3 linked regions of the Caenorhabditis elegans genome follow. The protein of the gene in region 1 interacts with the protein of each later gene in a pairwise test. Each region holds a gene or a part of one and is shown in the gene's direction. Other genes may lie near its edges. The genes, in order: txt-1, mct-6 and ceh-58.

What was found.
Region 2: the proteins of txt-1 (region 1) and mct-6 interact in a two-hybrid assay, tested with the Caenorhabditis elegans proteins (one large-scale study listed by BioGRID).
Region 3: the proteins of txt-1 (region 1) and ceh-58 interact in a two-hybrid assay, tested with the Caenorhabditis elegans proteins (one large-scale study listed by BioGRID).

The regions. Positions count from the first base shown.
Region 1 is NC_003280.10:101,881-111,949, forward strand, and holds txt-1 (PDZ domain-containing protein), read left to right. Parts: upstream 1-4,308; 5' UTR 4,309-4,377; coding exon 4,378-4,446; intron 4,447-4,650; coding exon 4,651-4,807; intron 4,808-4,855; coding exon 4,856-5,031; intron 5,032-5,501; coding exon 5,502-5,558; 3' UTR 5,559-5,605; downstream 5,606-10,069. Other genes in the region: col-68 (Nematode cuticle collagen N-terminal domain-containing protein), read left to right, coding at 2,663-2,741, 2,787-2,884, 2,943-2,993, 3,038-3,518, 3,562-3,842; C50D2.2 (Cationic amino acid transporter C-terminal domain-containing protein), read left to right, coding at 7,323-7,533, 7,587-7,837, 7,884-8,212, 8,269-8,641, 8,688-9,047, 9,105-9,350; C50D2.1 (Peptidase S1 domain-containing protein), read left to right, coding at 9,807-9,888.
Region 2 is NC_003284.9:16,762,573-16,774,650, reverse strand, and holds mct-6 (Major facilitator superfamily (MFS) profile domain-containing protein), read left to right. Parts: upstream 1-4,152; 5' UTR 4,153-4,155; coding exon 4,156-4,314; intron 4,315-4,348; exon of another isoform or gene 4,349-4,493; intron 4,494-4,564; coding exon 4,565-4,713; intron 4,714-4,761; coding exon 4,762-4,887; intron 4,888-5,124; coding exon 5,125-6,118; intron 6,119-6,167; coding exon 6,168-6,446; intron 6,447-6,610; coding exon 6,611-6,688; 3' UTR 6,689-7,235; downstream 7,236-12,078. Other genes in the region: C10E2.1 (FBA_2 domain-containing protein), read right to left, coding at 7,995-8,475, 8,929-9,188, 9,239-9,575, 10,587-10,820, 10,869-10,942.
Region 3 is NC_003280.10:10,363,879-10,374,631, reverse strand, and holds ceh-58 (Homeobox domain-containing protein), read left to right. Parts: upstream 1-5,034; 5' UTR 5,035-5,049; coding exon 5,050-5,133; intron 5,134-5,350; coding exon 5,351-5,751; intron 5,752-5,952; coding exon 5,953-6,046; intron 6,047-6,142; coding exon 6,143-6,226; intron 6,227-6,293; coding exon 6,294-6,357; intron 6,358-6,408; coding exon 6,409-6,563; intron 6,564-6,618; coding exon 6,619-6,720; 3' UTR 6,721-6,884; downstream 6,885-10,753. Other genes in the region: ceh-57 (Homeobox domain-containing protein), read left to right, coding at 9,005-9,042, 9,098-9,135, 9,191-9,249, 9,296-9,860, 9,919-9,997, 10,258-10,342, 10,607-10,702.

The DNA.
Region 1 (10,069 bases):
AGTTGAATAAAAATTTGCATTAACAGCTCCAGCTGGATTTGCATTAACAGCTCCTGGCCAGGCATGGCTTTTTGGTCTCGCCATATTCGTTTAAGTTGTTAAAAATGCTTGCAAAAATTATTTTTTAAACTTTGAGTGGCGGTAACTTTAATGATACCAAAAAGCAATTACTTGTAACATTATTCTTTGTTTGACCCGTGGAACAATCGGAAAAAAAAGCTTGCTGCTGGCTTTACAACACATTCATAGTGGCCTCTCCTTTCTATAAACTCCCCAGCAACTGGTGGTCCCGTTAATTCGGGCTCTTGCCACTATTGCGCCCCAGGCTCGCCTTGAAAAGAGTGATTTGGAGAAAGGAAAAAGAGTTGGACTCTTTTTGTACACAAACCTTGTTACTAGTTGTTACAGTCAATAAACCCTTTTTGAGTCATTGTCTTACTATCAGTTAATTTATATAGAAAACCATACGAAACATAAATGATAACAATTCAGATTTTTAGATCCCAATTTTACGGAAGTACACTCGTATATCAAAACTAGTCTTTTAACCTACCTATTCACAAAACAAAAACTGTCGTTTACCTCATTCTTTCTGTCTCTTTTCATCCACTTTCGAACCGAAACCTTTTTGGAACAATTAGCCATTCATCTCTGTCTGTTTTCTGCTGTTCGAGAGACAACATCCATTCTTTTTTTCTGAAAAATAAAAGATTGATTGATTTGTATTGTTGCGCCATCGGAAGAATATTTTATTCTTTTTTTGTCAAGTGCAATCGGAAAGTCTGTCTGATGACGCGGTCACAATCATCGTTAGAAATTGTGTTGTGTAATAAATTCGAACACTTGAGAAATGAATTTGCGTCTCAATGCCAGCTTTTTCAAAACGCGATCTTTGAGTTGTTATAGGACAGTTGGTTATTATCAATCTAGATCCACTTCGAATAAGAAAAAAATTGACAAAATAGTTTGGAATATTTTTGTAGCAAATGTTAAGCTGACCCAAAAGTAATCTCATGAGAGCTCAAGAATGTTTTCTACAATTCTATGAACCCAGTTTTCGAGCAATTTTTATTTTATGAAATTTTGAAAACCATATGTCTCTTGCATTACTTGAAAACTTTATTTCTCCAATTTATCTTTTTGAGTACAAAATTAATAGGACTGAAAAACGAAGATTAATAAGAAAAATACGGTGTATTGAATATTCGTGCCAAATATCGCAAGAATCAATTTTTCTGGAAACATGTGTTCCAGTGAGAACTCAATACCTTTTTGAAGCATTATTACTGACACATTAAAATATATCAACCACGACAAGTGGCGGAGTATAATACTATAGTACTCGAATGTATTTCAAAACACAGACTACAACTAACTACATCCTAGTTAAGTTAAGTTCATGAAATAGTTTAAAACTAATAAAAACCAAAAACTCCTAGTCAGTCACACCTCATCCACCAAATCCCTCTTAGCTTCTACTCTCCTCACATCCACCTACTCATTTTCCCATATGAACAGTGAGTGAAGGAGGGACACACAGTCATTACTACTTTCCTTAATGGTCACCTCAATTTGCTTCTTCACCATGTTCTCTCTCTCTCTCTTTATACATTATATTCTAATTCTAGTCCTCCCCCTCCTCCCAATAACGGTTTGCCTATCAAAGTGGGCGGAACACTAGCCTCCCTTTCGGTTTGCCATATGGGAATCTTTATATAAACGTGAAGTGTGTGCCATTGTAGATGACTATTCAATCTTTTTTACACACTTCACATATATTTCAAATCATTTTGTATTTAATTGTACGTTTCTGATTTTCTGATCTGTTTATTTATCATTAATTGCTCGTGTATTCACGTGATACTGTTTTTGGAGTAGCGCTAGTGAGGAATTATAGTAGTCCAGTAGGAACAAATAGCTTTTACTTCAAAACTGTCTAGGTTTTGAAAAATTTTTAACTCACATCTTTGTTTAATTCTGAATTTCTCAACAAAATTTTAACACATTATGCAAAAAATTCAGAGTAATGTTGAATTGTTAAATCTCACAACAAACTGAAACACTATTACATATTTCACACGTCGTTCCAGGCTGTCTCATTACGGTTTGATCTAAAAAAAATGCGGGAATTTTTCGCCCAAAAAAATGTGACGTCAGAACGTTCTTAACCAAGCAAAATCAGTTGAGAACTCTGCGCCGCTTCTTCCGCATTTCTTGTAGACCTAGATCAAGGAAAAATAAGACACTCTGACAGCATGGTGAATTCGCATATGAGCGGTTTTCAACTATTCCTTCACTGAACCTACTCTAACTTTTATAATTAATTTTTAGAATTCACTGTAAAACTCTAGCATCTATGTATTTGAAACAAAATCTGAACTTCAATACTTCAATACTTCCTTTAATGTCATAAATTTGAAACTAGCCTAACTCATTCGCCTCTCTGTTCGCACATAATTTGTCTCATTCCCCCATTCTCTTGTACTCTTTCCCGGGCTTCACTCGACTATTACTCCAGTCACTCAACTCAAGTCGTTACTTTTGAGTGAGCGAATTCTCGCGCGCGCGCACGCAAATCACTCATTTCGAATTGTTCGTCGTCAATTTCTCAATTTCTTCGCCACTCTTGAAACTTGAAACTTTTCCCGATTCCAGAAGAACTATGGCTTCTGAATCGTCGCACGATGATCCAAAGTATGAAGCACAGGAAGCTGATGCAATGCGGAAGTTGGCGTTTTTCGGTGAGTTTACTCCATAGTAACAAAATGAATGCCTGAACTTTTAAGGAATTGCCATATCCACTGTTGCTACATTAACTGCAATAATGGCAGTCCCCATGCTCTACAATTACATGCAACACGTTCAATCTGCATTGCAATCTGAAGTATGTACTTGTTATTCTGAATTCGTGTTGTTATTATTATAATTTCTTTTTTTTAAAGGTAGATTTCTGTCGACACAGAACAAATGGATTGTGGGACGAGTACAATAAAGTAAGAGTTTTTTTTCGGATCAAAAGGAATTTTCTTTTATTCAGTTTGAATCTGTTGCGGGCGTCCGTAGACGCATCAAACGCGCGACATATCAAAAATCAAATGGAGTCACCGGACGTCTTGCTCATCGTCGTCGGGCAGTTGCTCGTGGCGCATCTAGCTACGATGGCGGATTTAATGAAGAAGTTCCAGTTGGAGGTGGTGGTGGTGGAGGAGCATGCTGCTCTTGTGGAGTTGGCCCACCTGGTCCATCAGGAGCTCCAGGAACAGACGGGAATCCTGGAAATGATGGGTCTCCAGGAAATCCTGGAACACCCGGACAAGATGCAGTAGGAGACGAATCCCCGACTGCTGCAGATTTCTGTTTCGACTGCCCAACAGGACCACCGGGACCACCTGGAAAGCAAGGACCTAAAGGACCAAATGGAGAACCAGGCGCTCCAGGAACTCCAGGAGGAAATGCACTTCCAGGACCACCAGGTCCCCCTGGACCTCAAGGTCCACCGGGAGCCGATGGATTACCAGGTACATTAGCATATTTGAAAAAATCTAACGAAAAACGTTTCAGGTAACCCCGGGGCTCCAGGTGTTCCAGGCCAAGTTATCGAAGTACCAGGTACTCCAGGGCCAGCTGGTCCACCAGGTCCTCCAGGCCCAATCGGCCCACCAGGACAGCCAGGAGCTCCAGGAAGTTCCCAACCAGGACCACAAGGGCCACCAGGAGACCCAGGAATTGATGGAGCTCCAGGAAATCCTGGATCTCCAGGAGAGCCTGGACCACCAGGACAACCAGGAGCTGGTGGTGGATGCGATCATTGTCCTCCACCAAGAACTGCTCCAGGATATTAATTTTCTGAACTTTAAGCCGACTGTATTGTCTTTCATAGCCCTATTTCTGTTCAACCGGTAGATTTATTCGATAAATCACAATTTTTTAATCATAATGAAAATTTATTCACGAAAATGATCACGTACTTGATCTCAAACTTGAGTTTCAGGTACTCCATGTGTAAAGTCATTTCATCAGTTTCAGTGGGTCTAGGTTTAGAGAAATATTGGTTTTATCAAAAAATTTTGACACAGTCACGTTTGGTGAATTTTCTAATTCAAAAGACAACTTTATTTTACTACCGGACCCAATCATACTCCATTATAAAATTACATACTCTTTATTAAAGTTCTCCACAAATTAAATCAAAATTTTGAGTGTTTAAAAAGCAAAAACTAATAAAAAATAAATAGAAAACCACGTCCAGTTTTTTAATAGATCACGCCACCACGTCACTGAAGTCTACATTTTCCGTAAAGAGCTTTCAATAAAATCATTTCAAAAATCAGAACAAGTAACGTGGTTCCTTCAACTCTTTCTCTTATTTTCAAAAAAATGAGCACTACAGGATCTGCACCGCCCAATTCAAAACTTAAATCAGTTGAGGACACGGATGATGATAGGGTGAGTAGACAGGGGTGGGTGGCAATTGCCGGTCGACAAAATTTTTGTCGGCACATTGCCGGTTTTTTGCCGATCTGCTAGAAATTTCCATTTCCGGTAATGTGCCAGTTGCCCGAAATTTTCATTAAAATTTTCATTTTGACATTGCCGATTGCCGCGCACCCCTGAGTATTAATGCTCTTCACATAAACATGGCTACTTCAGACTCTCGCTGAAGACGATCAAAACGATCAAAACTCTGGGAGTATGGATCACCGATTTGAGAGAATCAAGGTGACACTGATGATGACTCAGGGCAAGAAGTTCGGACTTGGAATAGTATCTGTTCATCAACGTATACTGGTCTGCAAAGTGGAAAATGGTTAGCGAATACTTTTATAGACTCTTTTCTAATTGGTAGACATTTCAGAATCTCTAGTAGCCGGGGTTCTCAAGTACGGAGATCAGATTATCGAGATTAACAAGAAAAACGTCTTAAACAAAATTGATTGTAAGAAGCGGTTGATGCAATGCCTCAAGGATAAAGGACAAGTTGATATTATCATTGTGCGCCCAAAGACTGCAGATGCTGTTACCATGATTGAAGTGAGATTGTGAATTTAACACAGGGGTGGGCAACAATTGCCGATTTGCCTGAAATTTTCAATTCCGGCAACTGACCGGTTGCCAATTTGCCAGAAATTTTAAATTCCGGCAATTTGCCGGTTTGCCGCCCACCCCTGATTTAACTTGACTGATTTTCGGCAGGAACACTTAAAACTGTGCCTTTTTGAAACGTTTTTTTCTTTTTTCTTTTATGTTCTCATAGAATTTGCTTACTTTTCAAAATAGATGTAGGAACATTCTTAGGATGTGTAAAACGTAGCCGAGCGTAGCCGATTCCGATTGAAATTGAAATTTTGAAATTTCCAAAAAAATTGCTGTTTTTCCGGCAAATTTGCCGGAAATTTTCAATTCTGGCAATTTGTCAATTTGCCGAAAATCTCAATTTCGGCAAAATTGTTTGCCGTCCACCCCTGATTTAACATGATTGATTTTTTAAAATTATTTTTCAGCAAGAAATTCAACTCTCGCAACAACCGAGCACTACTGCACAGCCAAAGATCAATTGAACTTGTATAATGAATAAAAAGTATAAGTACAGAATTAAAATTGAACTTTGGCCCCATTCCAGCAATAAATGTTTTGTAACAAATAATAATCCCCAGTCACAAAAATAAATAAGTTTTCCCCTTCCCCCCACTTTCACTTCTCTGGCTTTTCTTTTTCTGTTTCCGTTTCTCATCTAGAATTCCAAATTCCACGACATATTGTTTCTGTTGCCTAAAAAATGTGTATTGGTTTAGTGGTTAGTTTAATTTAATCAAGAATGGCGCCATAACATTCAAATCTTAAGCTGCAGCCAACAACAAAATGCATTGATGAGATTTAATCAAATTTCTCTGCTCTTATTTTTGTAGTTCTCATTCTTTAAAAAAATATTTTTAGCAACTTCACACACTTCAATTTCATGTGTTTTATAATATCACCCAATCCATTAATGCAGCTAAATATGGAGAAAGCGCTCGGCTTTTCTGCCTTGCCTGGCTGAAGCCTCAGGCGGCAATTAATGGAGCTCTGAGAGCAATAGAGAGATGAAAAAGTTAAAGCGGGCGTAAGAGACGCAGATGGATGGGAAACTGAACCATCTTCTTTTTCTTTATTTTGCTCGTCTTTTTCTACTCTCCTTATTCGTTCTCTTTGAATGTTAGCATTCAATGCAGAGGTGCGCGGCAATTGCCGTTCGGCAAATTTTTTTGACGACAAATTCGGCAAATCGGAAAATTGCCGGTTTGCAGATTTGCCGGAAATTTTTAGAGGGATTTTTTACAAGACGGAAACACGTAAAACTGTGTCTTTAAAAAAAATTGTTCCCGTTTTCTTCAGATATTTTCATAGAATTTGCTTACTTTTCAAAACAGATGTAGGAACATTCATAGTGATGCGTACCATTTTACCAATTGAAATTTAAATTCTGAATTTTCCAAAAAAAAGAGTTTTTTGACAATGCAAAAAAAACGAATTATAAAAAAACCTGAGGAGATTTTAGATGTTCGGCAACAGAGAGCTTGTAACTGTACTGATGGAGCTTTTATGGGAAAGTTATTGAAATTTTACCAAGTACAACTTCCATCTTTTAAAAGAATATTAGAATATTAGCAACTATATTATATTATTATGCATGTTATGCTATTATTATAAATTATGCAACTATATTAGCAACCATATTAGTAACTAAAAATACTCCATAGCGCCTCCTAATCACGTTATGCACTTCCGAATTGATATACCAATAGTAAATAAAATTTCCAGACCCAAATATAGCACATTTACGTTCATAGATTTCCAAGCCCAAAAATCAAATTTTAAAGTACATGCCTGACTTTTATTATGGAATTCATAATACTGGTCAAAATTGATACGAAATATCACAACAGAGACTTCAATGCATTTCTGACAACCACAAACCATTTGTGCTGTCATTCCATTACACACGAAGTCCAGCATACATTTTTTCCCCCGAAAAACGTCTTTGTTTATCTTCCACCAGTTCCGCGCGCCCGCTCTATTCCTCTTTTTCTCGTTTATTTTTCCATCTATGCGTTTGTTGTCTTTTTGTTGATCTAAATATTGCATAATTGATCGATTAATTTAATTTTTCTTTTCTAGGAAAAGCTGCCAGAAAATTCCCATTTTTACATAAAATTCATAAAATTTGGCGTTGAACTCAAAACTTTTACGATCGTTTCCTACTCTCCGCTTGCAACCTCAATTCAAACGCAACTTTTGATATTTCAGATAATTAGAAAACCAAAAGTTCAGGAACAAAAACAAAAATGTGCTTCTCGGCGCTTCGAGAACGTGTATTTCGTCTGAAAAACTTGCCGGCTGGTGAGATAGCAACCCCACTTCGAAGATGTCTGAGTACTTTTGACATTACTCTTCTTGGAGTTGGCCATATGATTGGCGCTGGAATTTATGTATTGACTGGGTCGGTTGTCAGAAACACTGCGGGACCATCAATTATTCTGTCTTTTTTGCTAGCAGGTAAGTAAACGGCGGCTTCAGTAAATTATTTCCATTTTTCAATATTTTTTAAGGTTTTGCATCTCTTCTCTCTGCTTTGTGTTATGCCGAGTTTGGAGCTAGGTTCCCAAAAGCTGGAAGTGCATACACATACACTTATGTTGGAGTTGGAGAGCTATGGGCTTTTGTTATTGGATGGAACATTATACTAGAGCACATGCTTGGAGCTGCTGCTGTCGCTAGATCATGGTCTGGATACTTGGATTCATTACTGGGAAATGTTATTTCAAATTCAACAATTGCTCGCACTGGGCACTTGCATGAAGTAAGCCAGTAAATGTTTTTATAAAATTTTGAATTCGAAATTCCAGGCTTCATCATTTTTCGGCGATTACCCTGATCTTCTCGCTTTTCTACTCATCGTTCTTGTGGCATTTTTTGTTGCTCTTGGTTCAAAAGTGTCCACTAACTTCAACTCTTTCCTAACAATTCTCAATATTGGAATTGTTGTCATAGTCGTGTTCTATGGTATAACGTTTGCTGATTTCTCTCTATGGAGTGGAGTAGATGAGAAAGGGAATTCGAGATTCTTTCCGTATGGAGTATCTGGAATGTTTGCTGGAGCTGCATCTTGCTTTTTTGCATACATTGGATTTGACGGACTTGCAACTGCTGGAGAAGAAGCTAAAGATCCTGCACGGTGAGATTAAAATTTATGTGAACTGAGTATGTGAAATCTTAGGTAATTTATTTTAGATCAATTCCAATTGCCACATTCTCCTCTATGACAATTGTCACACTCTCCTATGTTCTGATGTCAGCTTCCCTGACATTGATGATTCCATACAATATGGTTCATCCAACTGCAGCATTTTCTGATGCATTCACGATGCGTGGAGCAGAATTTGCAAGCTATGCGGTCTCGGTCGGTGCTCTTTTTGGAATGACAACTAGTTTGGTTGGAGGAATGTTTGCTCTTCCGAGATGTGTATTCTCAATGGCTGATGATGGACTTTTGTTCAGCTCCTTGGCATCCGTAAACCCAAAAACTCAAGTTCCAACTCAAGCTCTTCTTATTTTTGGATTCCTCACTGCAATCATTGCATTGCTTTTCGATATTACCACTTTGGTAAGCTGAAATACGTTTTAATATACTTTAAACAAAATATTTCAAGGTTGAATTCTTATCAATTGGAACTCTTCTTGCGTATTCTATTGTTTCTGCCTGTGTAATCGTACTTCGCTACCAACCAGCATATAATGTTGATGAGGGCCAATTCGACAATGGAGGAAAACTTCGATTCAGCATTCCATTCTGTGGCTTCCTTGATAAACTTCAGCCAGGACACTCGATTTATTATGGGATGAGCGTAATGATTGCTTCAATGTTCTTCTCAGGCCTTGGATTCAGTTCTGGATATTTATATGGAACTGTTCTCTGCCAAATATTCTTGCTAGTCAATATTGCTCTGATAATTCTCTCATTCCTCTTTATCTGCGCTCATTACCCCAATAATACTCCACTGGATTTCAAGGTATGATTGATAATTTACGCAGGAGATTTTTATGTATAATGTAAATATTCCTTTCAGGTACCTCTCGTTCCTCTTATTCCTGCCCTTTCACTCTTAATCAACACTTTGATGATGGTTCATCTTGCTTGGATCACATGGCTCCGGTTAGTTGTTTGGATGAGCATTGGTTTTGTTATCTATTTTGGATATGGAATTCATCATAGTAAAGAAGAAGTACAAGACGCTGAAAAGTTCTCGAAGAGCTCCACGTATGAGTCCGTGGTGTCTGGAGTAGTGGCTGGAGCTGGAACGACGTCTCCGTGATTATACCTTCTAAACTCATCAGTTCTGTAAATAAACCGCAGTCTCCTTTTTATATTAATTTATGTTTTCTTTAAATATCAAATCTCTCCAAATGAACACTGGTTCCTCTCGTTTGTACGCATTTCCTGTCTGTGCTTCCTAGTATTTTAGTTACTTTCATTTCTTAGTATTTTTGTTTCCTTGTTAATAAAAAACTTGTAAAATCTCAGTTTTCTAAAACAACCATAGTTACGCAATTATCAAATACATATTCATTACCCTTTCTTATCACTAGCCGCCTCGCAATTTTGCCCGATTTTATGGAAAACGAGACAAAAGGATAAGCCTCGAGGCAAGGGACTGGGCGGCGGATGACGCGAGAAATCTCGTTTTTCGAGTTTCCACCTTTTTGATGATGAAGACGTAATCCGAATCAGAAGGAGACACTGGCATTTTTTATTCTCACCGGGACACACAATGAGGAGGAACCTCGTGGATATTTTCTACATTTCCTTACTAATATTTATATCTGGTTTGGTTTTTTGCACAGATGCTTCGGGTAAATATTCTTAATATTTTTACTGTCAAAAAGTGGCAATTAATCAGTTTTTTGCTACTCATAATTTTGGAAGTCGACCAAACATTTTTTTCCCTGCATTTTTTATACTGTAATTTTGTTTTAAATATTTGTATTAAAACATTGTAGGGGTCGGAAAGTGCGATATTGCTTTGGATTTCCT
Region 2 (12,078 bases), on another chromosome or scaffold:
GCTGGAATATTAGGAAACATTTCAGCTTGAAATTTCAGAAGGCATGATTTGAGCTTAAAAATTTTAGGTCCTACAGAAACCTCACCTCATTTCCGCTTGCAATCTAAAAACCATTCCAATCATCTCTGTTCTTTTTTATCTGTGACGGTCTCTCACCCTGCAAAAAGATATCAAAAATGATCCGCATTGGAATGTTGATTTACAATTATCACCTTTTTTTTCTTCACTTTTCTTGCCATTTTTCTCGGTTCGCTTTGTGTACCGTCCCTGAAGGACATTAATTCATATCATCGAAATCTGCGTTTCAATCAGTAGCCAGAATTCATATTACTTGCGCGCCAGTTAATGATTTTGACACCTTTTTGAAATCAATTTTCTTTTCGAAATATTTTCAAACGTTTCACACTGAAATAGTCGTAGTATTTTCCCACATTTGCCAGAAAGCTTTAAAGGTGCCGCCGTAAAAAGTTACCTTTTTCGGTAACGTTACCCAAACAGAAAAAAAAAACAGATATTTTTATGTAATTTCGGTACAATTTTTTTTCCTTTTCTGAATAAAACGGCATGTGACGCTTGTTCACATATAAGGAATCAAATAACAGAAATTGGAGATACCCAAAAAACACTGAAAGATAGATGTTTGAATATTACTTTGAGCTTTATACACATTTTGTTATATTCAGTGACCTTGTGTTGATTATAATGTTTGAAAATATTTTCAAGTAGAAACATTAAACAAATGATGTTTTTCAGCGTTCAAAATGACAAAAAAAATTAAAACCTAAAAAGTAAAAATCGTCATCAAAAATATAAATAAATATTCTCAGTCTAAAAGTTAATTTAAAATGAAATTCTTCATGTAGAAATTTTTAATACAACCTACTTTTGTCAGGTATATCAACAAAAAACCAATTTCCCCAAAATTTCCCACATTTCCTTTTACATTAACGGCCTAGATTAAAAATTTGGGCGACAGCAAGTACCCGGAGCACTCTACTGATAATTTTTTATTGCTCCAAACTATTCTCAATGTCTATCAAAAAAAAATCAATTGATAGATAATTCATCATGATTTACAGCTTTTTTTGTTAATTGTGAAACTGGGCGATGATATTGACCACTTTTCAAAAAAAAAAGACCGTGTTTTTAGAGTCATGTGTTATTGTGAATCGCTTATAAACAAATTTTACGTTTATTTTCAGAATGAATGCTAGAAAAGCTAGAAAATTCGTGAATTTTTCCATTGTTTTTTTTTTAGAATATCAATTAATTGACAAATATACGCTTGCATAAATTGACAACACATTTTTCTCACATTGCAATTTTCATAGTCTTTATTTATTTACAAGGCTTGTTACATTTATTTTCGAAAAATACTAGAATTTTAAAATAGAAATAGAAAAATAGAAAATGACCAAAATTTACGTTGTAGTGCGGATTTGGCTATTGCCGGAAATTGCCGAAAACCGGAAATGAGAATTGCAAAAAGTAAAAGTTTGTTAGATTTCTAAAAACTTAAAATTGTACGTTTTTTTGGGAAAATATCCCCGTTTCAAGCCTAAAGGGTCTATACTTTTCACAGTCTCAGTCGCCAATTTCTGGTAATTTTTGATTGCACCCATGATCTACACCAATTAGTAAAATTTTAAACAGGTGCCTCTTCGCTCCACCCATTGCTATTTTGATCTTTCAGAAATTTACTCTTATTTCACAACTCACAGCCACCTGTTACTGTCTAGCCAACACCATATGGGACCCTGTCTGGAAATTCTATGTGTAGAAAGCTAAAGTGCATTTGTCACATTACATCACATTTCGATTTATTTTTACCAGTTTTTTAAAAAACATTTTTGAAAGCTGGAAAATGTGAGAACTTTGGCACAAATCCAAGAATTGTCGGCAAACTTCAAAGGTTTCATTTTCCCAGACAATTTTGTTCGAACTCTGGGGCGACCTCGTTTATTAAATATTCTTTTCAGCCAAGTTTTCATTAGATGAGAGAAAAGTTTAAACAAACAGAGATCTGTGGAATCCTAAAAGTATATGACCGCGGGTAATTGGACACGAAAGGGTCAGAGCACATTAGCTTGAGTCATAATCGTAAATAGTTGATGAGCAGCCTGATGCCTTCTTTTTGTTGCTTTTCTGATTGACCTCTGCCCAGTGTAACATTATAAACAAACTGTTGTTCCTCTCATCCATGTTCCATTTCTCCTCAAGAAAGTATGTGTGTGTGTGTGTGTGTGTGTGTGTGTGTGTGTTTACGAGTAATGCGTTTTTACGTGACAAACACGAAAAATTCTGGAGAAAAACACACACACATACCAAAAAGAGGAAAAAATCTGGAGAAGGATAAGAGTGGGCAGGGTTTCAAGTACCACTAACACCATGTTTGGGTGTTTTTTAGTTCTTGGTTTTCTCTGAAACATTTTAACTTTTTCTTTATTCTCGAATGTTCCAATGTTTGTTTACTTGTTTTGTGAATCTTTTAAAATGCGAGCAAAGAATTTTTTTCAATATCAAAAAGTGCTCTCTATGTGGGCGGTTTTGAGCGCATCCTTTTAAAATTTTAGACAACATTTTGAAAATTGATTTTTATAATTGGAAACATTGTTCACACAAAAAAAAAGCCATCATGTTACATCATTTTGACAAAGGTTTCAAGCTTGAGGATAAGCTCCGCCCACAAGGTTTGATATAAATAAGGGCTTCTATAAAGTTGACTTCATTTGCAGTGAATGCGTTGCTGGCAGTTTTCCTATAATGAGATATGGTTTTCTTTTGATTTCTGTATAATAAGGGGCTCAACTTGAACGGTATGATTTGCGAAAGCTCATTTCTTCAAAGCATTTGGAATTATAAAAATTTGTTCAACTATTCATACTGTTGCAAATGTTTTGGTAAAATCCAAAACAGTCTAGATATCAGTCAAAACAGTCTAGTCTAGAGACTTCTGAGCAATGAGGTGAAGCATATACTATAACCGTATGTTAGGCTAAATTCGAACTGCTTTTTTGTTGCTAATAAAATTTCAACTAGCAGAATCGAGAGTTACATTACAAAACTAGGATCTAGAATCTCCCGATTAACCTACCCTGGCGCGTATTTCACCAGTTAAATTATGTTTTGTCAAAACTTAACAAAACCTACAATAAGTTGACCAAGTAGAGAAAAACACACAGAGTATCAATTTTTTGTAACACACATTAATACTTGAGCTTTAGAATCTACTGATCTTGATAAACTACTGAGAAATCTGTCTCTTCTAAACTTCTGGTATATTAGAACTTTTACACTTTGCACTTTCAATCAACCCAACCATACCTTCTTCACTTCAGGCTTCAGGGCTTCAGTGTTCAAACCCTCTCTGGAAGCCCTGTCCTTCATCCGTTCCTGACAGATGTTCGTGAAGTACACATGCCATTGTCTACCCACAATCACCATTTTTTTCCCCACACTACCCGCGTCTCGCTCTATCTCACCTCGCTCCGCCCTCTTCGTCATCTCCCCACACTTGTTCATTGTCGACCCTAACACACACTTCTTACAGTCGGCCGGTCACCCTTCACCCTACGGACGGGGTGTCCTTTCTCTGGCACACTCTGGTGTTTACGCGCACTCTTGCCGTTCACCCTAGCTTACTGCGTCTGAGAGTGCCCTTCTTGTTTCCCGCGTTTTTTGACCTATTCAAATCCATCAATTGTATCAATTGCGGTGCGATTTCGAGCCTATATCTAAACCAACACAGCTAACCAAACTGTGGATTTTATATAGGCCGATACTGTAGATGTTAGTTAGGCAAATATACAAGTGCGTAGTCCTAGCATGAGATTTGTATCTATCTAAAAAAAAATACCGAGACCTTTTTCTCCCGGCAACTATTTATTTGATACTATCGAGAAATGTGTGAACATGATTAATGAGAGCGCGCAGTCCTACTTCTTTGATCTTTCTCTTATTCTGTTTCTCTCTGATGTATTACTTTATTTTGCATCTTTTTATTTTTCACCCGGATTGCTGAACATTTTTAGATTCGAGTTTTCTTTTGAGGCTCACTAACTTTTTTTTTTTGCTTGTGCAACTTGATATGACTTTCTCAGAAACTTTCTTGATACTTTTTGAAAATGTTCTATAATCAAAAAAATTTTTCAGAAAATGACAGGTGCACCAGTGTCGTCTGGCGGGGGAAAGTTGGTGCCATTGCCTCCAGATGGTGGATGGGGATGGGTCGTCGTGCTCGGCTCATTCTTTGTGCACGTCTTCGCTGATGGATTCGTATACTCGTTTGGAGTGCTCGTCGAAACTCTTATGGAGGTGAGCTTCTTCTCAGATATCCTAGACCCTAGCCACTGCCCCATTGTCAATAACACCGCTGTCACATGTGTAGGCTCTTTGGCTCTTTGGACCCTCGATCAGCCATTCGTGCAATGTTTCACGTGAATCTAATCAACTGGCCCATAAGCCGGCGGGCACTAAATGTAATGTTATATCGTTGATCCAGTTGAACATCTCACGTAGCCAAAAATCATGTACTAAAAAACTAAACTAAAATAATCTTTCACAGGAGTTTCACGCAAGCAACACAATGGCAGCACTCATCATCTCACTGCTCACCGGACTCACCCTCGGAAGTGGACCGCTCGCTTCTGCCGTGTGTAACAAGTATGGATGTCGTATCACCACAATCACCGGAGCAGGAGTTGCGTTCGTCGGGTAATTGGCAATGATCCGAAGCCTCTAGGAACGTTGGTTTCTTTTCAGATGCGCCCTTTCGTACTTTGCAACTGCCATGTGGCACATTGTGATCACCGTTGGTGTCATCATGGGTACCGGCTTTGGATTGATGTATTGCCCGGCTATTGTGATCGTCACTATGTACTTCGAGAAGTGAGTTGAGAGTAAATGACGCCAATAAGTGCATGAATTGATTTTCATATTGGTGGTAGTTTTATCTTGATTTCTGATTTTAAAACTATTATTAGGACACTACGATCGCAAACGCTAATTTGCGATCAACCGGGAGACCTCACTCAGATTCATATTTCCAATAGTTGTTTTTGTCCTCCAAAACATTGGAAATCAAAGAATAACAATTTTTTAAAATAGTTAATTTTAAAATTTCAGCAAGCGCTCCCTTGCCACTGGAATTGCAGTCGCCGGTGCTGGAGTTGGAACTGTCCTTTTCGCCCCGATCAACGCTTTCTTCATCAACAACTACGGATGGCGCAGTGTTTTCCTGGCATTCTTGTTTATTTTGGTTCTATGTGCTCTGTGTGGAGCCACTTTTGCTCCATTGGAGTTTGCATTGGTGCCAGACGAGGAAGAAGAAGTGAATGATGAGGTATTGGACGAGGATGTAAAGAAAACTGCTGCTAATGAGGAACACGGAGAAAAGGCAACACTCTTGAGTCCGCCATCTTTGCTCGAGAGATCAATGTCTCAGAGTTCTGGAGTTCAAAAAGCTGGTGAAAAGATCCGGCCAGCTAGCTCCATGGGAGCTGTTGATGTTGAGTCTCAGCCAAGATCTCGTCGCGGAACAGTTGGAGAGCGTGACAGTGGATACCTCAACCGTAAAGACGTCTTCTACACCGGATCAATCTCCAATGTCGCCGAGTTCCGTGAGGATCCAGACAAGTATCGCTCGACCGGTTCTCTTCATGGACGCCACACCACTGTCGGAAGTATTCCAGCTCACTCCACCGGAAGACTGGATGATGTTCGTGAGGGAAGTGAAGAAGACAGCAAAGCCATGGATATCAGTGAGAAGACCAACGGAACTGACAACACTGACAACGTCGAGGGAAAGAACATGTTCAAAACCATCAGCAACATGCTCTCTTTGGAGCTCCTATTGGAACCAACTTTCTTGCTCTTTGCGATTTCAAACCTTCTCACATCTGTTGGATTCAACTCCCCACTGTACTTCCTCCCACTTCACGCTACCAAAATTGGACTCGAGCCTATCCAAGGATCAAAGGTTCTTTCCGCATTTGGAGTCTCCAACACCGTTGGCCGTATCATCTTCGGAGTTGTTGCCGATCACAAGCTCCCACTTCCAGGAGGCATCGGAAATGATACCGCTCGTAATCGTCTCTGGATGTATAACATTTCTTTGACCGTAAGTGCAAAGACATTCGACAAGAAATTTAATAAACTTTGTTTTACAGATCTGCGGACTTCTCACTGTATTTTGCTACCAATTCAACGGATTCATCCCACTTGCCACCTACTCTGCACTTTTCGGATTCTCTATTGCCTCGTACATCTGCCTCACGTCTGTCATCCTCGTCGACCTTCTTGGACTTGACAAGCTCACCAACGCCTTCGGACTGCTTCTTCTCTGGCAAGGAGTCGGAACAGTGTTCGGACCACCTGTGTCGGGATACTTGGCTGATATGACCGGCAACTATACCCTTTCATTCGTCTTCTGCGGAGTCAATCTCCTGGTGAGTACAAGTTGAAAATAGCCAGCAAGACCAAAATACTTCATTATATTTAAGTTTTCGGTAATTAAATTGAGTATCCATCTAAAATGAGGCTACAAGGTTTGACTAACAAGTTAAAGCATAAATACAGCTCTTGAACTTTTAAAAACGTTTCTCTTTTTCAGGCCTCTGGGCTCATGCTCTTCGGAATCCCATTCTTCCAGAAAAAAGCCAAGGCCAAGGCCCTGGCTATCAAAAAGTAGATGCTCCTGTCCCTGATGATCTGCCATGATTTTCGCTTTCTCTCATTTCTTAACGATATCATTTCTAATTTTCATTTTCATACACCCAATCTCTTCTTATCGAAATTGTGTTTTCAAAGCACTGGGTACTCCTTGTTATTTAGACCATATTCCTTGTTCCAGACATATTTCCTTCAATTTCACTTGTCCTCATCTGGTTTTCTTGTTCACTTTGTCCATTACCTAGGTTTTCCCCTTGTAGTTTGTTGTTAATTCTCTCTCACTGTTTTCCCAAATACCAATAATTTGTAATTCAATAATTTGAATCTGGTTCAAAACTCGTTTCACCCAGTTTTATCTATGTGTGTATTAGTGCCTTTTTTGCTCTTCCAGCAATCTCTCCCAAATTGATGGGCTTAACATTCCGTTTTTGTTTTCCTATCTTTAATATACCTCAACACACTGTCTAAATCGTTAGACTACATTTCCATAATATTGCTGGTTTTGCGCCTTTCTGGCACTTTTCACATCTGTATTATGATACTATGAAGTTGAGTTCTTGAAATGATTTTTCATCTGGAAATTGGGAATTCAGTAAAACGAAACAGTTTTTTTAAACTCAGTTTGAGGATTAATTTTACTATTAATCCTCAAACTGATCTTAAAAACTGAAGTACCACAAAAGCAAAACGAAAAGTTCTTTTTTTCTAAATTCTACCTAAAAGTGTCTGCTTTGTTACCTTCTCTGATTATTTTCAATATAAAAAACGGGGTAATCAATCTAAAGAGATTAGTAACAATTGAAAATTAGCCAAAATGAACCTAATTTTTTTTCAAACTTAATGAATTTAATTTTTTTAAAAGTTTTTTTTTGTGTTATTTTGGTTTTCAGCGACGGGAATCAAAACAAAATGGGTCTCGGCACGATCACCTTCCCAGACTTCATTCTACATGAAATTTACAGTTGAGTGTCTTATTCAATTTATTCACTGAAAGAAATGGTACAATAATTAAAAACAATATAAAGGTAGTACTGGATAGAGGTAGAAGCAATCAGAAAAAATGAAACAAAAATCAGAACAAGGAAAAAGGACACAAAAGGATTCATAAAATAAGAAAATGTATAAAGTGTGAAATGCTGAATCTCGAAATTTTCAGCTGATTCGTAGATAAGAATCATCAATTCAGATTATTTTATTTGACTACATCGCAACAATTATTCTGCTTAGACAAAAATACATGTGCGTTCTGAAAAATTGAAGAAATTAATCTGAAAGTAATGTTTTCGTGGATATCGGGAAATAATCACATGTCATCGTGTTCAATTTCAGTTTTGATTAGCGCCATACGAGAAGAAACCGAAATCCTTCCTTGCTTGGGTGGCCAGACACATCTCCTTCAAGAAATCCATGTGATTGATTTGATGTTGATAATCATTCATCTCAAATGCGATCTTTACTTTCCCAATCTTGCTCTCATGCAATGCTCTTTTTGCTTTGAGAAGTTCAGCACGATCTTTCTCATTGTGCCATTTCTTGAAACACTTCTGCTCTTCATTTGTTGCTACTTTTAGATTTGATTTCAGAGTCTTCAAGGTTTCTTTTTTTGACGCATACGTCTCTATGGTCTTGTCAATGTGATTTATCATTGGCGAGTTCCATGGATACTCTGCGTGTATTATGAAAGTATGCTCCTGTGAGATTAAAGATTTTGTTTTGAGATACATAGTCATCAATGCACCATCCGAACGTCGCAAGTGCACTCCGTCATTGGTTAGAATGTGCATTTTTTCAAGATATCGGAGCTCTCTGAAAATGAATATCGAGGTACTTTTATTTCCGTCAATAATCGTTTTTAACTGCAATTAAATTGTTGTGAACTAATTCGAAAAAACTAGCGGTCAAAATAATCAAATTTAACAACTTTTTTCTCTGCTTATCGACTTTTTTAAATTGTGGGAATTTATGTAACAAATGAATTTTGACTTGAAACTTTTTTGGATAAATCAAATAGTTTAGGCCAGCTGGCGCCTAAGTATTAGACTTGTTGGAAAATTGGTCACTATGGCCGCAGCGTATGTCAGTAACGGTGCCTCACTCACACTCGCCAAATTTTATTTTAGACTTTGTTTCTTGCTAGTCGATTTTGATAAAATGTGATCTACATTCAATTTATAATAATGATAATTTAACTGTAACAATTAGTATTCAAAATAGTGCTTTGCAGCAACTTGCACATTTTTTAGTTTTTTTTTGACAAACCTGAACTTTCGTTGTTGATCGTTTCGTGTAAAGTGTTTGAAGTTTGCCAGCAGGTTCTCAAGATGTCTAATGTCCAGCTTCTTTATATGCACTGTCATAGTTATCAAATTTGACTTGTGAGTTATCATTAAAGCGTTGACAATTTCGTTGATAACATCTACAGAGCATTCATCCATATAATAGGTTGTATCGTAGCCCGCATTTGGTAGTTGGTTATGGTAGGATGCATTGGTCATGATCACGTTAGGGATTTGCCATACCTTAATTTTCATTATCTTTGCAAGCTGTCTTGAAGTGTGCTAAAACGTACCCGCTCCAAGTATACCATGGAACGATGGCTGATATTCACATTAACCGTCAAGCTTTTGAAAATTTTAACACCATTCAAAAGCCGTACGACTTGCTCCGATTGGTACATAGTTGGCTCTTTAGCAAATGCTGGAATTCTCAAACTAACACAGCCAAAGTCATAAAGCATTGCAATCACATATCTCACTGTTTGAGAACTGTCGAAAATGTCCTCGTCGACCACAATGCTTTTGATACCGACATTGAAAAGGTTCTGAAGCTGATCAAATAATGCAAAGAATGGGTTTAACGCTTCGTCTTTTTTGACCCGAAGACTGATTCCATTTTCTGTTGAGCCTCTGAAAATGCGAATTAATTTTAGAAAAAAAAATATTATTGGTGGTGGGTTCGTTGTGATGGTATGTAGCTAGGAATACACCACGAGTTCAAGTTCTTCCTAACCAATCCTAGGGCGGCTTAGGGGGCTAGCCCCTACAGTGGGGCTCAGCACAGCCCCCGACACTTTCGGGGTTCCGCGCGGCACTATACAGAGGGTCATGGTGACAAGTGGCGCGAGGTTGGCGGAACCCCGAAAGTGTCGGGGGCTATCAAACAACCACCTTTCGTAATGCGTTTTTCAATGCGCGCGGGGCTGGGGCTGAGTCATTTGCAGCCCTTTAGCAGCCCTAACCAATACTGAAAAGCAAATGTGGCCAACTAATGAATTATGCATTATACAATAAAAATATGTTTTCTAAAACAACTGAGAAGATAACGTTCAATTGAATTAGTATACATAGTGACCCCCTGATAAAAATATTCTTTATTGTCTAGCTGAAATTTAGAAAACGATCAACTCTCATTTTCCGACGAGCATCAGTGATTTGTGCTTTGAGCAGCTATTTTCTATTGAGCAACCGTCAATTAAGAAATCCCACGCAGTTTCATTTTTTCAAGCTTTCCGTCACGATTACTAAGTTATAAATAGCGTGTGTTGTGTTGAACATCTGATTACACTTACATTTTATACAGGATTTTTACAGAAAAGGAGTAAAAAGAGTTTTCTATATTTTATTCCAGGCGTTTCAGTTGATACATGCAAACCCATTGTCATTAGATATTTCAAATGGGATTATTTATTTTTAGAGAGTTTCCCTACCATTCCCAGAGGTATTTCCCGCGTGGTTCGCCATTAGGTAAACATGGTCCAGTTATACTTGCTTTATCATTTACAGCGAACACAAGAGTTCGCAAATGAATACGTGAAGAAATTTAAAATCCCTTGCCAAATTTAGTGTTCCCAGCCAACTACCATAAAAACGTTACTTGTTTCTCGGCAAAACGTTACAAAATGCCATAACAAAACATACACAATCAAAAACGACTTCTTGGAAATGTGAAAATATTGATTCCACTTTTTCTCCGGATTGTTCTGCTTCACAAAACTCCACGAGAAGCTCTTCTTCGGATTGACACACGTAATCTCAATGTCTGCTTTGTTGGATCCGATCCACATTGACATGGACAATCCTTCACTTTTCAGATATCTTACTCCATACTGCAATTGTGCGCTTAAATCGAGATCTAGCTTGCTGAAGTTGTAGCTGCAATAAAAAGTAGAATCAATCGATTTTTAGTCAAAATAAACTCACATATCACCAGCAGACAGAGAATCGACCTTCTCCTCAAACTCTCTCACAGAGTTCATTTGAATTACAGATGGCATCTCGAACGACTAGCAAGTTGTATATTGAGCAGCTCAAAATGGCGCTATAGTTACAATTACGCGACTCGTATATTGTCTCTTAGCAACTCGTGTTTGCTTCAGCTCCACCACCGATTGTCAGTGAGAGGTGGATTCCATAGGGTATATGAAACAACGTCAAAGATTAACTATTTTCAAAAACAACTCGGGAAGTAAATTAGATGCTCTTCATAGACTTGACTATCGATTTAGACCAAAAAGAGAGAAAGAGAAAAAGAGATGTGAAAATGAAATCGTATTATTCTGATAGTGAGATTTGTAAAACTGAAAGTCAGAACTTGTGATGTTTTGTCTTCGAAGACGAAGGAGCGTTGAAAATAGAATGAGTGGGAGCCAAACGATCAGAAAAGTACGAAAATAATCAGAAGGCTTGTGCAGATGCCCTTATTTCTGCAAGATGTTTGTTCTGGAAATCGGAATCTGCTTGAATAAATTTTTGAAATGCCTGAAAATCGCAGAAAAAATAATAAATATTCGAACGTTCACATAAATTTTGGATGTTTAGGAGGTTTTCTGGTCAAATGGAAAAATGTTTCGAATTGGAAAATTGTGTAAAAGCACACACAAAATTGTTCAATCAAGACGAGTCGAACAGAAAAAAACTATCGGGAATTTGAAACATTTAGAGGTGATGTTTTAATACAAACTTACACGTCTATTCCCCTCATACAATTTTCTAGAAATATGAACTTCACCTACATAAGCGTTTATTTTTAGAAAGCTGAATCAAAATGCCGAACAGCACTGAAACCGAAAAAAAAGACGACAATTCAACGCGGGCTCAGTTCAAAGATTGGCACAGTAAAAAATTGTGTAATTATCATTTTCAAATGAGTACCCACTCGTGGATTATAAAAAACATCTAACAATTTTAGTTGAGCACACCTTTCGAACTTGTTTTGATGAATACGATTCCCTAGGGTGTGCGCTGAATGATACGTGTGCTGATAGAATACATGCTTTTAATCATCTTTGTGAGTAATTGTTGAGAATGATTTAATACGTTTTCATATTGGAAATAAAGTTGAAAATATCACGGAATTTCAGAACGAGTAAGTATGTATCAAGTATAGTTTAGTGTAGTTTATTAATTATTC
Region 3 (10,753 bases), about 10 Mb from region 1:
TACATTTTCTTAAAATGATCCAGTGTGTTGAATAATTTTTCTACCGCTTATCTATACTCGTCTATAATGTAACCATACAATATTCCAACTTATGTTAATCATAATGTTAGGAATGTGCAGAATTTGGTCCAAGAAATATCAACTCATCAGAAGTTGGCTAAACTTGGGCAAAAGCTGTGCAAAAGTTTGGCAAAAGACTTTGGCAAAACTTGGTTTTAAGATGAGCTAAAGCTTAACCCAATTTTGACCCAACTCTTGCCACACTCTTATCACAAAATCAAGAGCCTCATTCAATCGCAAATTTGTCAATTTTTTATATAAATTTTTGAAGAAATTTTCCTCCAAAAACTATCTACATATTTTATTTCGAAAATCCTAATACCATTGTTTTGAACTTTCAAAAGCTCCCGTGACTCATTCATTACAAGTAAAAAATAGCGAGTTCTCTAAGAGAATGCCTTTCTGCCTTTGCTCACCCGTTTACGCTGAAGAAGAGCCATTCAACCATAGGAGCTTGTCCTCATTATCAAAGCTAATTAGGAGGCTAGTTTCCTTTTCTCCCCACGCCTATTCCATTATACCAGCTGAATAGTCTTATTTTATTTCCACTTGGTTGCGTTCTTATTTCAGATGCTCACTAATTAATTATCGATCGATAATTGACTATAGGTTTAAGATAATTGTAAAAACTACACATTCAGTTTTACAGTAAAACTCTAATTTCTGAATAAATTAATTGTTGAGGCGTACTAATTTTAATTTTTTAAACACCAATTAATTCAGTTTCACTTAACCCAATTATACGTCTGCTATATTTTCCCATCCAAACATGCAATTTGCAGGCACAATTTATGTCTCTCGTCCCACTCTCTCACAGAAAATTGCATTTTCCATCGATTCATGTGTATGTGTGTGTACGCAGGGCGCGTTAGCCCTAATTATCATAAATTGCCACCCTTCTCTTCGTGCTAAACCGCACCCAATTATCGGGCAGATGGCCTCGTCGCCTCGCTTTTCTCATTCTTTCTTTTTACGTAGTTCCGTGTATTTTGACTGTTTTAAAGTATTCTATTGCTTTGTTACAGTGTGGACTCTAATTAATTCGAAAAATTAGTTTTATAAGGGAAAATTACAACATTTTTTTGAAATTTATTGTTTTACTTAAAAATTTAATTCAACAAAATGTTTGAATACCTTGAACACTAAACACCAATAAAAATATTTTTATATCTTAATTACTTATAAAAATCGCTATAAAAACTCAAAAATAGACGCCGCCAAAAGATTGTTGACCACTAGTGCTATCCTGTACCAGTATAATATTTTGGTAAATATTAAATTTCATCAAAAATAAATTTGAGGAAAATGACAATCACTGATAATGAATGATAATTGAGCGTTGAATAAATATATCAGCAAGTTTTGATTATCACCTGTAAACACACACAATTTTGTCTGGGCGTGCGTTGGTAATTAAACATACTTTGATTATTGCGAAACTAATTATAAATTATATTTTTTCACACTTTTTGGTAATAATTACAAAGTTCAAATATTTTTTAAGAAAAAAAACAGTATTTAAACTTTTAAATAAAGTCTAAAAATATAGCTGCAATAAAAGTGGAGAATCTCTGAAAATTCCTTATATGTAATTGTCTGAGAAGGTTTTGCGGAGCCAATGTTCTCTGCACAGACTAGTTTTTCATGGCGGCATAGATCTACCAAATTCTAATGTACATAATTAATTTTAGCAAACAACTTTTTAATATTTAGTCTCTAAAAATGATCCATTATTCCTCTAAAAAACATTTTTCCAGTTTCCAACAAAAGCAGTCAAACCACCAAAAAACGTCTCAAATTTCAATAGAAACGGGCAGACACCGGGGAAGCATTTCTCGAAATTCTATTATTTTGTTCTTTCCCTCCTTCTCTGTCTTATTCGTTCGTTTGTTTCCAAAACAAAATATGTATTTATACAATATTCTTGTCTACGTCTGTTAACTCTCTCACACCGGGGTTTTCGTCTTTTCAAAAGACATAATTATCGACCAATTTGGAGGGGAAGGGGAATGGAGCGCGTTTCTGCCAATTTCGGTCACACAATTTAGCATAAAGGACATCGATTTTTTAGTTAGCACACATATATTCTAGGAAGATACGATATTACATTTAGGGTTTCGAAAGAAATTACCACTTTTCTATATTCTAAAGATACTAATTAGCAACATTGAAAAGCATTAAAAATAGTGTTTTTTTTCAATTAGTCTTACTCTATGCTCTATTTTGACAGCTCATATCTAAGTTAACTTCGATTTTACAAAAGTATGTTCAACTATTGATATAGGAAAATTTTTGGCACGTATTTTGTTTCTGCAAATTTTTTTTTGATAAAACCAAATGACCGTGAAATTAAGGCAATAGGGGTCGTAAACCTTATAGAAAAAAATTCGGTATATTTTTTAATGATTTTTCCCCAATTAAACCCGTTTTTTTAAACTTGTTCTATTTATCTAGTTAATCTTTTCTATCAGAATGCGCTATTCAAATTATATCAGGCATTTCTTCAGGCATACCTCTTTCCTGCCTGAATTTTTTCTTGAATTCACATGATTGATAGTATAGATTTATGCACTTTTCATGTTCACATTTTAATTAATTTTTTTGAAAGTTCAGCAAAAAATCTTGAGCTGTACTTTGACAGTGAGCAATGCCTCGGCCGTCTCAAAGCAATTTTTTTTATTTCCTAATACTATAATTGCATTGGCTAATTTTTGTTACCATGAATAAACTTTATTTGTAGTCTTATCAGAATCCTGATAATCACATCTAGATTTGATGATTAGTTCTATAATTTTTTCAGCTTGTTTGCTCAGATGCACAACTGGAAAACAGAATGCTGTTGATAATTGCTCAGTGAAGCAACCTTTCGTTATGAGCTAATCATATGATTTCTTGAAAACTCATGCCAAATGAGCAATTTCAGAGAGTTTTAAAACAGTTCTCGCAGTGATTTTTCCATTAGAAACTTATCAAAGAGGTTTGCAAAACATTAAAAAATTCTTTGCAAAAGAAACCATTTACATTTATAATTAATTATGGGAGCCGAGCAAAACAACATTTTTTGCAATTTTTTAAATCCAAAACTTGGAATCTGTATTCCACGAATGTTTCTATATTTGCAAAGTGTGTGAGAATATCAGAAGCTGAACAAAAATTCATGTAAAATCTAGATTCTAAATTATTCTGGTGTATTAAATTGAAAGTATAGCAATTTTTACCAGTTTTTGCTATGTTAGCTATCATATTTGAATGTTGCAACTCACTCCTCCAAAACCCTCTAAATCAAATTCCAAATCCTTATGGACCATTCAATGCCCGTTATTATTCACATTGAATCTTCTAAAACTTTCCCACAAGCACGACCAGCACCACCCCATTCAAAGCTGCTCCTTCATCAGCATCCATCCGAAAGCGTCCATCAATGTCTTCAGGCATTCCATCTAAATTCATTCACATTCAAAAGCAGTAGGATAGATGTGCGAGAGAGACGAGAAATCCTCCGATTTTCTTCAAATAAACATAGAGAGTGAACGACGACTAAAGGACCCTTTTCTCCTTTCTCTCGTCGTCTGATCCTCTCGTATCTCTCGTCTACCACCACTTAACCACCAACCAACCACATCTTTCTAAACACACAGCGGCAATTAACTAATCGCTGAGAACTTTTGGTAGGGTTTCGTAGTATGTTGTAGAGAAACTGTGAAGGCACTTTTTTTTGGAAAAACTTTAGTGATATTTGATTTTTTTTTGCCCAAATTTCAGATTTTTTTAAAAATAAATTACTGCAAGACTATAGTCTAATCAATGTCTAGCTAATTGTTCAAGAAGACAAGTTCTACAAGTTATCCATTTTTGCCGTATCATCTATTATTATCCTGGTAAAACCTAAGTTTGAATCTTTTGTAGTGATCGTGCCGCAAGTTATTCTAGGCCTGTGATTACCTATCGAGTTATGCATTTTCATTAAAAAATACCATTCATTGAACACTTAAAGTGCTAAAATGTCTAAATATCGTAGTAAAACCTTTTCAAAACTCCAAAATTAATTTTGGAAGTCGGCCAACTTCTAAAATTAATTTTGGAAGTCGGTCAACTTCTAAAATTAATTTTGGAAGTTGGTCATAATTATTTTCCAACATTAATTTTATTGTAATTGCATTTCAACTGTTTGTATTCAAAAATTCAAGGGGTTCACATTTTTTGGAAAATTTGGTATTTAGACGATATTCCACCCTTAACTTAGTATACTTATCATGGAAATCAAATAAAGGTTTCAGTGCTAGAAAAAATCTATAGCAACATTTTCTAGAAATTCATTTTTGATCTACCCGGTAAACTGAACTTGATCTCCTTTTTCTTTAGAAAATAGCTCTCCAATTATAAACTTTCCTTTTTTGATTTTTCACGAAATCAAGAGACTTTTCACTCCAAATCACATATACTTTTCTCCACCTTCTCCCCCATTTCAATTATCCTCCTCATAATCTTCTCCACAGTCTTCCACTTTTTCTTCCGTTTTTCTTTCCTCTTTCTTGCCTCTTCCTCTCACTGTCTATGACTCCAAAATGTTCAATTGAAAAGAACGAACCTTCTCCAAGCGGGCAAATTGGTGAGAGTGAGGCGTTTGGTTTTATTGGACCTTTTGGTGTATGCCAGAGAGCATTCTTTGTGATTTGAGATTAAAATGTTCTCCAATTGTTGGCACTTCTACTCTCCGTCTCTTTTATAATTCTACGGAGAGGCAAGAGATGAGATAATTAAATCAATTATTCCAACTAATTAAGTGCCTCGGTCTCTCCCCATGTCCTTCCATCCACGTATTGATTGGTTGAACAGAAATTTCTTAGCTTTTCTTTCTTTCAGCCTAATTTTTCTTATTTGATTGAAACGTCCTCTTCTGTAATTTCGAAACGTTCTAATTTTTAAATTGATTTTGTATTGTTTTTAAAAACATATTTTAATTAATTTTTTCAGGATACTACCTCAAAAATGTCCGCCTTTCAAGGCAACATGTTTGTCTTGGTAAACGTTGACCAACATCGAGACCTGATCGGGCCAATAATTAATCAATTGGTGAGCTTTTTAATCAGCCTATAAAAATTTCCAATTTGGAACAAAATATTGAAACTAAACTTAAAATCTATTATAAATTAAAAAATTAGCTGAAAAACGGGTAAATTTATTATTGAACCCAGAGAGTAAATATTTTAAAAAGTGTAATTTTAGAAGCAATTTTTTTAATGTTTGAAGTTATAAACCCAATACATTTTGATGTAATAATTACCTTCAGGTAGCCGACTACGGGACTCCCGTCTCAATTGTGGATAATATTCAAAAAATCTGTCCGAAATGCTCGTGTACCCCACATGCCAATCCGGACAGCTCATCAGTTCCAACTACAACAAGTTCCGATGAGCATCAAGAAGAACCCCCGACTCCAAAAACGATAGCACCTGCTCCAATTGCGACTCCAGTTCTAAAGCCACTTCTTCCACAACGAGAGTCTATTGTCTCAAATGGAATTCATCCGGTGGTTGTGAAACGAAAACAATCGATCGCAGAAGAAATTGACACGCCGGAGATCAAAAAGAGCCGAGTTGTGGAGCCAGTGAAAGTGAAAACTGAAACGATTATACTTGATGATGACGATGGGAATGTGTTGGACACGGTTCTAGCTGCATTACAAAATGGGTTCGTTTTTTGGATATTGTTCAGTGAAAAAATCATGAAGCTTTCATGGTAAAAATTTGCAAAATGTTATCAAAATACAGTATTTTTCCTAGTAGTAGACATGAAAGACTACTTTAAAAAATGTTGAATGCAATTTCGAAACCAAGCGTTTTGGACGTCCGCTGGAAAATATGGATACAAAAACTAATGTTTCTTTTTCAGAAACCATGAAATGCAGTTTACTGGATCAGGAGGAAGTAGTGATGATGGAGCATCCAATTCTAGCAATATTTATGATGTCGATGATGAGGATTATGTACGTTTTATCGTATATTAATTACTGAAATCTTATATATTTTGGGTTTAACCTAGACCTCGTGTAATTTTTTAAAAAATTGTAATTATTTTCCAGGGAACTTCTCAATGGAATCCAGATTTTTTAACCAACTTCATCACTTCTCAACCGAATATTTTCAGCGTAACTGGTCAGAATATAGTGAGTTATTGTTCGATAGATAACTATTTAAAAAATAGAACATTTCTAATTGTTCTTAAAATTTCAGAAATCCTCCCCTTCAAAAAACGCAGGCCAAACGCCGAATGGCAAGCGCCAAGTTCCGCCAATGTGTAAGTCTTCGTAAATTTAATAGGCTTTCATTTAAAAATCTATAACTTCAGTAACCGTAAACGGAAAAACGAGGCGTGGACGAATTGTGTACTCGACGCAGGAGTTGAATATACTCGAAAAATATTATGAGGAGGACCCGAATGCGTGTGCGGATCCTAGGAAACGTGAGACAATGTGCAAGACTTTATCGATTGATTATCATAGAGTACGTCCCAAAAAAATTATTTCTAGTCAAACTTCTAAAATGTTCTGCTTTCCAGCTTAAAGTATGGTTCCAAAATCGACGACGAAAGGACAAGGTTCGATCGCAAGAAGAAGCTGCCACAACCTTTAATGGATTAGATTATTCCGAAGATTCTTAAAATGTGATTTATTTTGTGTGTTTTTATGAATGTAAGCATTAATATTATTATTCACAAACCCTCTCTTTAATTTCAAGATTCTCATCCCATCTCAACTCTCCCCCCACAAATTGTTCATTCTTGCTCATGTTCCCAAGTTTATCGTTTTAATAAAATATGTTTCAACATAAAGTTAGGGAAAAAATTTACAAGCTGTTTTAAGCTGTGCATATTCATGATAATTCCAGAAGTAATGAATTTTTGGGTTCCAAATCGTTCTGAAGGAACTTATTGCAAAACTATCAAACATTATTTCAAAAATTGCGACCATTGAATTTTGCGACCGCCTGAAATAGTTTTTTGAAAAGATCTCCTATTGTTAAGCTTTTTTGATTATGACAACATATCAATATATGTTTTTATTAATTAAGCTTTCTCGCGCTTTTTCATAACCACTAATGAATCTTACTTATAAGATCACATTTCATCAAATCATGGGAATCTCAGGTTTGTTATTTTCATTTCACCGTGTATCTAACAATTAGAGCAACGCATCATACTTGCGTTGATGCTTCCATGGCAACGAAAGCAGATGGGTGAGATTACTCGCAAAATTTTAGGCCAGTTTTTGTGCGTTTTCATTTTGAAACTATTGTTATCCGTGGTTTTGTCGGACTGGGATTGAAGGATCAGTGACTAAATTATTGGAAACGGTGAGTGTTTTGCATTGATTGTATTTGAAATAAGTGAGATGTGACGTAATTAGAACTATAAACTGGCATTTTCCAATAATGACGCATTGATTTCGATAACTAATTCACTTTTAATTGAACAAATTTAATTCACAATTTTCTGATTATTCTTATTTGCCAGTTTTTCGAACAATGTTATTTCAGTCTCTTTAGTTCATCTGTCAACAGAAGGATTACACAATCGTCCTTGTCTAAAAAAAAAGATTTTTATAAAAAATTTCAGAAAATTTTTTAGCTTCAGTTGGTTGACCAATTTTTAGGTGTTTTGTTCTTAATTTTTGAGAATACTAAATTTGCAGCTCTCTCTCTCTCTCTCTTTTAATATTCTCTATTCTACAAACGTCATATCCTTGTGGCTACAACATTTTCCTTCAACAAACTTCTGCTTGCGATCACGAGTAGATCCCCGCACATACAATTTTCTTCTCATGACCACAAGAAACATGGGAATATTTGGAAAAATAAAGTTCTGCCAGTTCTCCTGATTTCATGCGTTGCGGTCATGTCATGTGTGGGATAATACCATACAGAAGAATGCATCCGGTTATAATTGTTTGCACATTGAGAACTTGCAAATTTTTTGCTGAACATTCTTAACTTTCTGCAGTACATGGCCAATTTCCTGCAAAACATTGCCAATCCTTTATCACCTACTCGAGATTAAAAAAACCCTTCCTGTCAAACTTTGACTAATTACTCTTGAAATTAGTTTTTTTCCAACATTTTGACTTTGGGGACTTGTTTCAAATTTTAAGCGCTTTCAGAATTTAATTACAACATTTTTCTAGGTGCCAGAAGCTTCCAGTTCAATCGAAAAAACTGACCATAACGCATATATAACGTTTTTTTATTGGAAGATTTTTTTAGTTTTCATATTTTAAAAATTAATATCTGAATTAAAATGAAGTTTTTTGAAAAAGTTTTCTCGGGGATTTGTTTCAAATTTTAAGCGCTCTCAGAATTTAATTACAAAATTTTTCTAGGTGTCAGAAGCTTCCAGTTCAATCGAAAAAACTGACCATCAAGCATATATATGATCTTTTTTTATTGGAAGATTTTTTTTAGTTTTCATAATTTTAAAAATTAATATCTGAATTAAAATGAAGTTTTTTGAAAAAGTTTCTTCGAGGGTTTGTTTCAAATTTTAAGCGCTTTGAGAATTTAATTACAAAATTTTTCTAGGTGTCAGAAGCTTCCAGTTCAATCAAAAAAACTGACCATCAAGTATATATATGATCTTTGATAATGATTTCTCTCGTTACCCAATAAATATGATTTTTCAGAGTATCATGAATCCGAGAGGATTCCGAAATTCATTCATATTCTTTAAAGTCTCTAATCAGAAATATCGACAAATCTATTAATCTGGCTGAAAGCATTTTTTAAAAAGTTTCTTCGAACACATTTAGAACTGAAAACTACAAACTAAAACTAAACGATAAGATGTCGTAATCCATTTTTTACAATTCAGTGACAACGTCAAGGCAAACGCACTACAACTTTTGATTGAATATATCCAAGAAAAATACTCGAACACGCTTAACCAGAAAAAAATGGATACACTTGAAGAGTATGCGCTTAGACAAGAGAGGTGGGTCTGAAATATTTCAATATATATATATATATATCATTTGTCTAAATTTCAGGCTGCACAGAATCCAGCTACAATCTGAAGAGTATCCTGGTAACTTAAAAAATGGTTTTGAATATTAATCAATGATCTAAAATATTTATTTCAGGAAGTTTGATCCAACAAGCCATATCGAGACTTCAGATGGGTGAAGAATTACCAGAGGAGGTATTTAGTTTTACTCATTAAATATAATACACAAAATTAATATCAGATTTTCTCAATCGGGGAGTCATTGAGTGTCTCCAATTACGGACAAGCAACAGGAAAAATGGTCCCATGTAAAGGAGACGCTATAAGTTTTCATTTTGGTGATTCGGGAAAAGTAGTTTCAATTTCTGTTTCATCTTCATTACCACCAGATGCCAAATCGATACCTTGCATGACTTTGGATGACATAAGGAATCAGGTGTCTCCTGGACAGGCCCAATTTTTAGGTGTGAAACATCCCGGTATAAACCCATTGGGTGCTCAAAGAGCCACAAATAGCAAAAAGTCCTCATTTGCTAGTGTACTCGAAAATTCGAGAAACACGTTGAAATCGAATCACAAACTTCAACACCTTCCTCGTTCTTCTGATCACAGAGACGATGTGGTGCAAATTTCGAGGATAGCAGCCTTGCCATCTGCACAAAAAGAACTCACAACTCGGAATATGAAAAGAAATTCCGATGAAATTGCAGAGGCTGAGCATACAAGAAATTTCAATGATCCGTTGGAACCATTCCCAATTATTCATCGAAAAAACATTCGATTGACAGATGATCAAGTTAGAGAAGGTTTGAGGAAATATATTGTGGGAGTTTTAAATAATTTTAATGTACATATATTTTTTAGAATACTTCAATCGTCAAAGAATGTATCCTCATGAGAAAAACGTTAAGAGTAAAGAAGCCGAAAATAATTATTCTTCAGAGTATGTTTTGATTTCGGTGGTTTATCAAAGTATTAGAAGCAATTATTATTCAGTTAAAAATTTTGTTTAAAACTTTTTTCGACAGTAAACAAATTTGAGTTCCCGCGGACATCCATTAATGCGGTAATTCAAATTCGGCCCCTCTATTTTATTTATTTTTAAACTACATAAATATCATAAAACGAAATCAACTTCCAAAACCAAAGCTGCCTCGTTTTCCTTAAAAATTCAGTTCCAAAACCCTCACTTTTCTTTTACAGGGCCGATTCTGAAGATTCTCCAGAAGTGGTTCCAGTTCAGCAACAAAAACGACGACCCCGGCAGAATTTTTCCAATACAATCTCGGTAGGGATTATTAAAATATAAACGTAAAAAGTTAGGTAAAAGCTTTAAAATATATTAGGTGAATTGTCGTATTATGATTTCTTTATCGTAGATTCAGAAAAAAAAGTCAATTTACATGTTTTTTTTTTTTAAATCAGTTCTTAAAAAAGTGGTGTTTTTTTTTAGATTGGAGTGTAATTTTTCCTTTGCGAAACAGCGTTAAAATTTTAGAAAAAAAAACAAGATTTTGAATCGGTGGTCCTCAGTTTTAATGAATAATTTAAGAACGAGCTGAGGATTGTACAAGAGCGATTCCACGGGAGTGTTCCGAAAAAAGACGCTGAGGAGGTTGCTGAATCAATGAATCTCGACAAGACAAGGGTAAGTTATTTTTGTTTGAGATGACTGTAAGATTAAAAAAAAACAAATTTT